Arabidopsis thaliana: one gene and its partner. The protein of the gene in region 2 purifies or fractionates together with the protein of the main gene of each other region. This does not show direct contact. Each region holds a gene or a part of one and is shown on either strand. Other genes may lie near its edges. The genes, in order: AT4G28440 and AT3G27980.

What was found.
Region 1: the proteins of AT3G27980 (region 2) and AT4G28440 fractionate together in Arabidopsis thaliana (co-fractionation; one large-scale study listed by BioGRID). This does not show direct contact.

The regions. Positions count from the first base shown.
Region 1 is NC_003075.7:14,058,178-14,062,159, reverse strand, and holds AT4G28440 (Nucleic acid-binding, OB-fold-like protein), read right to left. Parts: upstream 2,265-3,982; 5' UTR 2,107-2,264; coding exon 1,839-2,106; intron 1,384-1,838; coding exon 1,190-1,383; 3' UTR 774-1,189; downstream 1-773. Other genes in the region: AT4G28450 (WD repeat and SOF domain-containing protein 1), read left to right, coding at 79-167, 274-436; AT4G28430 (Reticulon family protein), read right to left, coding at 2,388-2,716, 2,801-2,866, 2,978-3,047, 3,151-3,292, 3,376-3,450, 3,543-3,696, 3,777-3,982.
Region 2 is NC_003074.8:10,391,899-10,396,600, forward strand, and holds AT3G27980 (Plant invertase/pectin methylesterase inhibitor superfamily), read left to right. Parts: upstream 1-2,005; coding exon 2,006-2,308; exon of another isoform or gene 2,309-2,348; coding exon 2,349-2,600; exon of another isoform or gene 2,601-2,917; coding exon 2,918-3,170; exon of another isoform or gene 3,171-3,277; coding exon 3,278-3,963; downstream 3,964-4,702. UniProt on the Arabidopsis thaliana protein: Acts in the modification of cell walls via demethylesterification of cell wall pectin.

The DNA of each region.
Region 1 (3,982 bases), on a different chromosome or scaffold from region 2:
TTACTCGTACATGCTTTCTTAAGAAGTTTTAACTTGGAACGGTGAATTGTCAATGTTAATTGGTGTGTTGTGCTGCAGATTCTTCCAAGGGAACAAAAGAAGCATGAGTACAACGAGGCTGTGAAGAACCGGTACAAGCATCTTTCTGAGGTTAAGCGCATTGTGAGGTAAATGACCAATGAAAACTGTGGTTTTATCCCATGCTTTAACTCTGGAGATTGTCAAAAGATAACTATAGTAACATGGTAACGTTTTGGTTATTGTGAATTACAGACACAGGCACTTGCCAAAACCAATATACAAAGCGATGGGTATCATTCGAACTGTGAACGATTCGAAGAGAAGAAAAGAAGCACGAAGGAAAGCTCACAGTGCTCCAGGAACAGTGGTCACAGCACCTCTGCGCAAAAGAAAGATCATCAAAGAAGTGGAGTGACTCTACTCTTTCTCCGTTTGTTCCTTTCAAGGATGATGATACGTGGAGAGGATTGTATTGGTATAGTGAGGGTAAGATTAGGAACATGAACATTTTTGCTGTGTTGTAAGCCTTTCTTTATGCCATTAAGTTATTACCCATTTCGTTTTCTTTTTTCTCTTCACTACGTATTGTGTTCATTAACTATTCGTTTTTGGTGTTACAAAGCTGATCTTCAAAGTAACATTCTGATTTCAAAGATTTATAAAGTTTGGAATTAGACCGACTTAACTAGACAATGGTTCTATGATCCGTCGATGAATTTTATGCACTTACAATTTGTCTTAACAATGACATTAATCAAGGATGAGATGCTTTCGATGTAAAAAGTTGGGCAAAACTCTCTGTAACCGAGAGGGTACAATAGTGTACATCAAATAGTAATTAATGAAAAAACAAAGACATTAGTAAAGTTTAAGAAAGAAAAACTTATTTTTACTGTATTAGATAGTGCACAAGCAAGCTCTCAATGGTCTTTAACTTACATCAACACAAATTAAAAGGAACAATTGCATTACGCCATTACCGCAGGCTCAATAGTTCTCCAGAGCAAGATCATGACCGCATATTTTAGGGTAAAAAAGAAGAAGCATATTCCTACAAGCAACTCTGGACCAGTCATACAATCTTCATCATCTAAATCAAAGACCTTCACGGTAGAAAAATCAGAACCCAACACTCTCAGGGGTTAACCTCCATAAACATACTAAAAGATCACTGATCACCACCAACATTGATCAGTTCATACTCAACGAGAGACAGATTGTTATCCTCCTTGACAGTGAAAGACGCGGCTCCAGTGGCTTCGATGCGTCCCCATTTATCAACTCCTAGCCTCATTGTACCCTTGAACATGTCTATCCTTGAATTGCGCAGTATCACCGTAGCACCCGGCTTCATAAGATCAACTATACACACACACACACACACAAAAAAAACCAATAACATCATTAGAGCTAATCAGTAGCCACATCAATTGCACGAAAACTGGTATAACAAAACTTCACATTATGAAAAGCTATGAAAGTTTTGGGATAATGTAGACCATTCAATTGAACATAACTCAACATCTAACCAAGCAAGTTTCATCATCACTATAGGTAAGACTATACAGAGTTACAGACCCTCAAGGCCAAGATTCTTTCAAGCTTCAATTTCACAAAGACATCACTAAATACACATACAATAACTGATACATCATTTACCAAATAGTACTAATAGAAACACATTTACCATTTGCTCAAAATAGAAATTGATTAAGACAAACGAGAGAACAACAAAGGATAAGACTTATCACTCTAATAAACTACGAAGACACCATTTCTATATCCATAAAGCAAGAGAAAAGTGGAGAAACAATAACCTTGATCGTTACGAGCAGTGAAGAGGATACACCCAGTTTCGTCACCGATGAGACACTCAACGATTCGACTAGGCTGAGAAGGACGACTCAGAGAACTCGCTGGACGAGTCTTCCGGGTAACAGGAACCACGATATTAGCCTCAATGACTTTAACAGTCAACGTGTGACCAGTCGTTCCAGGCTTTAGCTGTTCCACCTTCACAAACACCGGTTTTCTCTTCACCGTCGAAGTTCCCGTCGCAACCGCAGCAGTTCCAGTCGTCGCCATCGCTTCAAATTACAATACCCAGATTTCGCGTTCGCCCTAATTTGGTGGAATCGATAAAACTTTTGGAGAAGAGAAATGGGAATTTAGGGTTTATAAAGAAAAGACGACGATGTGCTCTCTCCCAAGACGGACGAGAGTTTTTATCACCTGCTTCTCACAGTTTCATGAGCTTGTCACGTGTCAATTTATTATTTGATATTAATGACTGCTCTTTATTTATTATTACGTAAATGTGAAATATTATTACACAGGTGGATACTGAAAAGACACTAGTGACTAGACTAATAAAGCTTCTTTGGTGCTTTGGTTTCTGCAACTAGCACCAACGCTTGCTCTTCTTCTGCTGACCGCGGTGAAGTTGACTTATCCTCCGGCGATTTTTGTTGCTCCGGGTGAGTTTTTTCTTGTTGCTTCTTCTCCTCCTCATCCTCGGAATCTAACTGTAGATTCTGTCGTCTGTATCTGATTACTACTACTATGATAAACACTGCAATAAAACGGGTCTTGAGAGAAGTTAGATTCCAGAATGCAGTAACTGCAGAGCCTGCTACGAATTTCTTGTGTGTGCAAACTCCCCAAGCTTCAACAAATCTCCTTTGTGCACACTCAACTACACATAAGCAAAGATCAAAGAATCCTTAGTGTCAATCATTGGAACCATCAAAGAGCTACGCAGTCTGTTAATAGAGTTTACCTTTTTGGTTAAGCTGACTTGCGTAACATGAATATAGCTTTGGAATAGTGAAGCTAAGGAAGAAACCTGTTTAAAGAAACAATGCATACTCTGTGTCAATTCTACTAGATACAACTAAAGAAAACAGTTTAGCTTTCTTTGGAGTAATGTTGACATATAGTGTTTCAACAATCATACCAAAAGCACATAATCTCCACAATGTTATGAGGTAACCATACTCAGCTCCCATTAGAACAAAAGGTGCCACCTGAAATCAAAGTAAAAACAGTGTAAGAAGGACAAAATCAACGTGAGAGTCACATTCATTGGAGAGAAGTTTTATGAGAATGGCAAAGTTTTGTAAATTCTACTTTGAGTGTCATTGCTGGTTCACCAGAGAAAAGCTCACTCGTCTTTGAAATTGCTAAATTGGTGATGGGAAGCATTCGTCTAGCTATTCGTAATACATCATCTTCACTCAATTTAAGCTCTCTCCGCGCTTCTTCAGTAACCCTTTATGGTAACAAATGGATCAAAACTTCAGTCAACTGCAGTTCAAGCTGATATTTATGTACTGGGACCTTAAAAGTTTGTACCTTTGGCGAAGAGTATTTGACAAGAACGATACCCCAAGAAACAAAAGTCCAAGATAGGAGATCGCTGAGAAAACACTTCAAACCACACAAAGTTTCATTATCAACTCATGAATGTGAAAAATGATTAAAGCTAGAAAGATAAACCTTGACAGAGAAATCAATGTTACCTAAAGTTAAATCCTTTAGCAGCAAAGCAAGTAGATAGGAAACATATACAGCCAAAACCAAACCAAAGTGTTGATTTCGCAACATCTCTCCACATAATCAAATCGCTTATATTCTCTCTAATCCGCTCTAAATCACCTTGACAAACATCTTGAGCTGAATTACACAAATCATTGAGCAATTATTAGAGCACGAAAGTGAAATCGAATGAGCTAATAGACAGAGGAAGGACATACGTTGATCTGAAGATGGACTAGGAGAAGCTAACAGAGGAACAGAACTGTGCTTCTCCTTCTTAGATCGACCCAACTTCTTCTGTTTCCTCTGGTTTTGTTTCTTTTCATCGGTCACGACAACAATTGGCTCCGTATTTTCCTTTGTATCTACCATCGCCTCCGACCTTAGTCTCGACCTCCGGAAATTCCTCGGCGACGGCGAGGCC
Region 2 (4,702 bases):
TAGATAAAAAAAACGAAAATTGAAAGAAAGCAAAATATTAGAAAAACTAGCACAAAACATACTGATATCTTATTGTATAAATTTTATTTTCAAAGTTAGTCCAGTCATTAATAAGATCACCACACATGACTCATAACTTAAACAATATGTAACAAACTTTTCATCTTGTGTGGCTTTTCCTTCATATCATATAAAAGATTTGGACAGTCAATCATATACATAATAAAAAATAACCTTATTTTTTGTAGTAATTACATAGGTATGCCATTAGAAATAAAAATTTAAAGAGTAAATTAATTCATCTTTTTAAAGGTTAATAATGTTTAAGACAATAAATTTTGTGATATGGCATATAATATTTTGAATAACTTTAACACTAACTAATTGAATATTTTCAATAAATAATCATACTCGCACTCATTAGTCATAACATCATCAATTTAATTCTTTTTTTATGGGATTATTATATGTACTTGATGACTAAAACTTTGAGAATATTTTCATGAATAATATGAATTTCTTCAATTGATTACAATATTTATCAAAAACAGCAGTTACCAAAAATAATAGTTTCATATTAAATTTTACACGTTGGTCATATAGGGAATCCTTGCGTACTGCATTCTGCATGGCATGTCAGCACAGTGAATCAGCATGTGATATAATTTTACTATAAGTAGAGCATTCATCAGTCGTGAATTTTCGGAATATATATTGATGATAACGTCGGTTGTTAAATGACACAAAAATAATGACGTCGTTTTGAGAACCGTTGTAACATCGTCGTAACAACAATATAGAAAAGACACAAGCATAAAAAAGAAGCCTACGCAACAATTACTACAACATCAATCTCCATATTGAATTGTCTTCTGATATACAATACCATTCCATGCCAAGCAGACTGAGACTTTATAAGTATGTGAAGCATCTCACGAGAGTTCTCAGTCAAATGCAACTCAACAAAGAAATCATAAGAAAGCATTGAGAAGCAAATTAGTTCATGAACCACATCACATCAGCATCCTGGAGACCAAAAAAGGAAGACAGTGAATCACTCAATAGAAGAACTGATAAGTTCTTGCTTTCAGTGCCAAGAGTGTAAGAAACATACCGCAAAAACAGACTACTAAACCCTTTTCAAGAACAATCCGAAGGAAATTGATTCTTCTCCACATCATTTAGCATCCAAAGCAATGACCACCATCTTTAGTTACAGCTCTACGCAGCACATCTAAAGCTTTCTTGTTCTTTTACCAATTCTAAAAATCTCAAAGAAGAGATCGATTCCAGATACAAGAGCTGCATAAGATTCATTCAAAGTTGTCAAAATTACAGTACCATTTTTTTACGGAGGAATGACAAGTTATGAGAGTGTATCTTTTCGGGTAAACATTGTAACGTAGTGAAAGTTGAGAGTGAATTGCGTAACAACCGATAGAATGAACCAAAAAGAAAAAAAGAACATCTTTTCTATCGCCCAAAAATAAATCTAAGGGTTTTCTATTTATTAGGTGTATATTGTCTTTTCTAGTACTAAAACAATAATGGCTAAGTCTCATCCTCACAAGAGATTAAGGTTGAGAATATATTGTATTGTTGTTAGCATAAACAAAAATAGATGAAACCAATTTCTACCAAATTCATTTTTTTTTAAGCCATTTAGAGTACATTGGGTAACAAGTATTTCAACTAAATTACTCTAAGACAATTCTTTCTATCTTTTATGAGCTGAAATATGGACCACTTTTCTTTTCTGTTCTTTGTGGATAATAAAACCAAACTTCACTGAATTATATCTTCAATTCACATTGCACTAAATTTTTAGATTGATCTCAAAATAAAGTTTTTTTCCTAAATATTGTCGTTTATCGAATACAATTAATTAAAGGATAAATTGATTAAGTTGCTTTGCTTTGTATATAAGACCACCATCGCTCCCTCCTCTTTCATCAGTTAAGATAATATAAATTCAGTAATTAAGAGAGAAGAAATAAATACAAAAATGTTGGTTAAAGTTTTCTCTTTTTTCATCCTTATGATAATAATGGTAATTGGCGTTAGCAAAGAATATTGTGATGACAAACAGTCATGTCAAAACCTTTTGTTGGAGCTTAAGGCGGGTTCATCGTCACTCTCGGAGATTAGACGTCGTGACTTATTGATCATCGTTTTGAAGAATTCCGTACGGAGGATCGACATGGCTATGATTGGTGTGATGGATGATACAAAACAACATGAAGAGATGGAGAATGATATGCTTGGTGTGAAGGAGGACACAAATCTATTTGAGGAGATGATGGAGTCGGTAAAAGATAGGATGATCCATTCAGTGGAGGAACTCTTAGGAGGAGAATTCCCACACTTGGCTTAGTAGCGTTCTTACTAGCTACATCACATGTATCGACGAAATTGGTGAAGGTGCCTATAAACGCCGGGTCGAGCCAAAGCTTGAAAACCTCATTTCTAGGGCAAGAGTAGTTTTGGCTCTTTTTATCTCCATTTCACTGAGAGACAACACCGAACTTATCTCGGTGATTCCCAATGGCCCTTCTTGGTTATTCCATGTTGACAAGAAAGATCTATATCTCAATGCTGAGGTAATAAAACAGAACCTTTATATTTTGAAGTTATAATTTGATAATCGTGAAAACCCATATTAAGGATTTACTTGATACTCAAGTAACAAATATTTAGGATTTTTATATTTACCTTTTATTGTAATTACTTTTAGGTAGATAATTCCTTTTCCTTAGAGATCAGCCCTTGTATAAAAATAGACCTTAAGGTCACGTAATGAAGAACACAATTCGATCGATATGTTTGACCCTCTTAACAAACCTTTTATCCTTTTTTTTCTTTCTTTCTACTGCTTATAGAATTTCTTCTGTTTCTTATAAAGCAGGCTCTAAAGAAGATTGCTGATGTTGTGGTCGCGAAGGATGGGACCGGAAAGTACAGCACAGTGAATGCGGCCATTGCAGCGGCACCTCAACACAGCCAAAAGAGATTCGTCATCTATATAAAGACAGGCATTTATGATGAAATCGTCGTCATTGAGAATACGAAACCCAATTTAACTCTTATAGGTGATGGTCAAGATTTAACCATCATCACAGGCAATTTAAGCGCTAGCAATGTTAGAAGAACGTACAACACCGCAACTGTTGGTAAGAATTTGTATTCTCTTCTTGAATAGTTTATAGTTTTCTCTTCTTTATACCAAACTATAACATTCTTAAAGACATTACTAATTATTCTAAAAATATGTTTGAAGCTTCTAATGGTAATGGATTCATCGGAGTAGACATGTGCTTTCGAAACACGGCCGGACCGGCAAAAGGACCAGCTGTTGCCCTCCGTGTGAGTGGTGATATGTCCGTCATTTATAGATGTCGTGTCGAGGGATATCAGGATGCCTTGTATCCTCATAGTGACCGCCAGTTTTATAGGGAGTGCTTTATTACCGGCACTGTAGATTTTATATGTGGAAACGCGGTGGCGGTCTTTCAATTCTGCCAGATTGTAGCAAGACAGCCTAAGATGGGGCAGAGCAATGTCATAACCGCTCAATCACGCGCGACTAAGGACGTCAAATCGGGCTTCTCAATTCAAAACTGCAACATCACAACAAGTTCGGATCTAGATACAGCAACCGTAAAAACGTATCTTGGAAGACCTTGGAGGAGATTTTCAACAGTCGCGGTTCTGCAATCTTTCATCGGTGATTTAGTTGATCCCGCAGGCTGGACTCCTTGGAAAGGAGAAACTGGTCTATCAACTCTCCACTACCGCGAATATCAAAATAGGGGTCCGGGAGCTGTGACTAGCAGAAGGGTGAAGTGGTCAGGATTTAAAGTTATGAAAGATCCTAAAAAGGCTACAGAATTCACTGTAGCCAAGCTCTTAGATGGAGAAACTTGGCTGAAAGAAAGTCGAATTCCATATGAAAGTGGATTGTAATAATGTTGTTCCATGCTTCACATGTATAACGTATAAAATAAAAGATATTATTCTTCTATAATTTTTTCCATGATTTTCTACAAAGATGGTAAGAAAGTGATATCTGGGAAATATCACGAAGGGCTTTACTATCTTGAAGGCATGGTTGTTAAGGCTGAAAAGAGTGTACCACATGCTGAAAATGGTGGAAAAAGTGTTGTCAAGGCTGTAGTTGGAGTGAGGAAGAAGAAGTCAAGGAAGGTGACTTTCAGCGTGAATTTAATTCAAAGGACCTACTCCATATGGCTTTGGAATCATCAGTTCAAGGTGGAGATGAATCCTCAACAGAAGAATCAGATTGTTTAGAGGAGGTTAAATCTGAGAAAAGTGAAGGACCTTCTGATGACAGCCACTGTTGAGAGATCAAAACAAGGAGTGGATGTTGTGTGATAGTAAAATGAAGGATGAAAGGATTACGATGCCAGAAAGTATCATTAAGAAAGGGGACACGTTAAAGTTGAAATGAAAGAGTTGGAAAAAGCTTCAAGGATTCAGGGAATGGAGGTTAACAGAGATAAAGCTAAGGGAGTTCTAGCTCTGTTACAAGAAAGTCAGGAAAAGGAAGCTAAGACTTTCAAAATGTATGAAGCTACAGTAGTTGGTACCAACAACATCTCATTTCAGATTAACGAGCTTAACTACAGAAGGGAAGGAATCGGGAACCAAACTTATGGACACAAGGTTTTCAGATCATCACAGA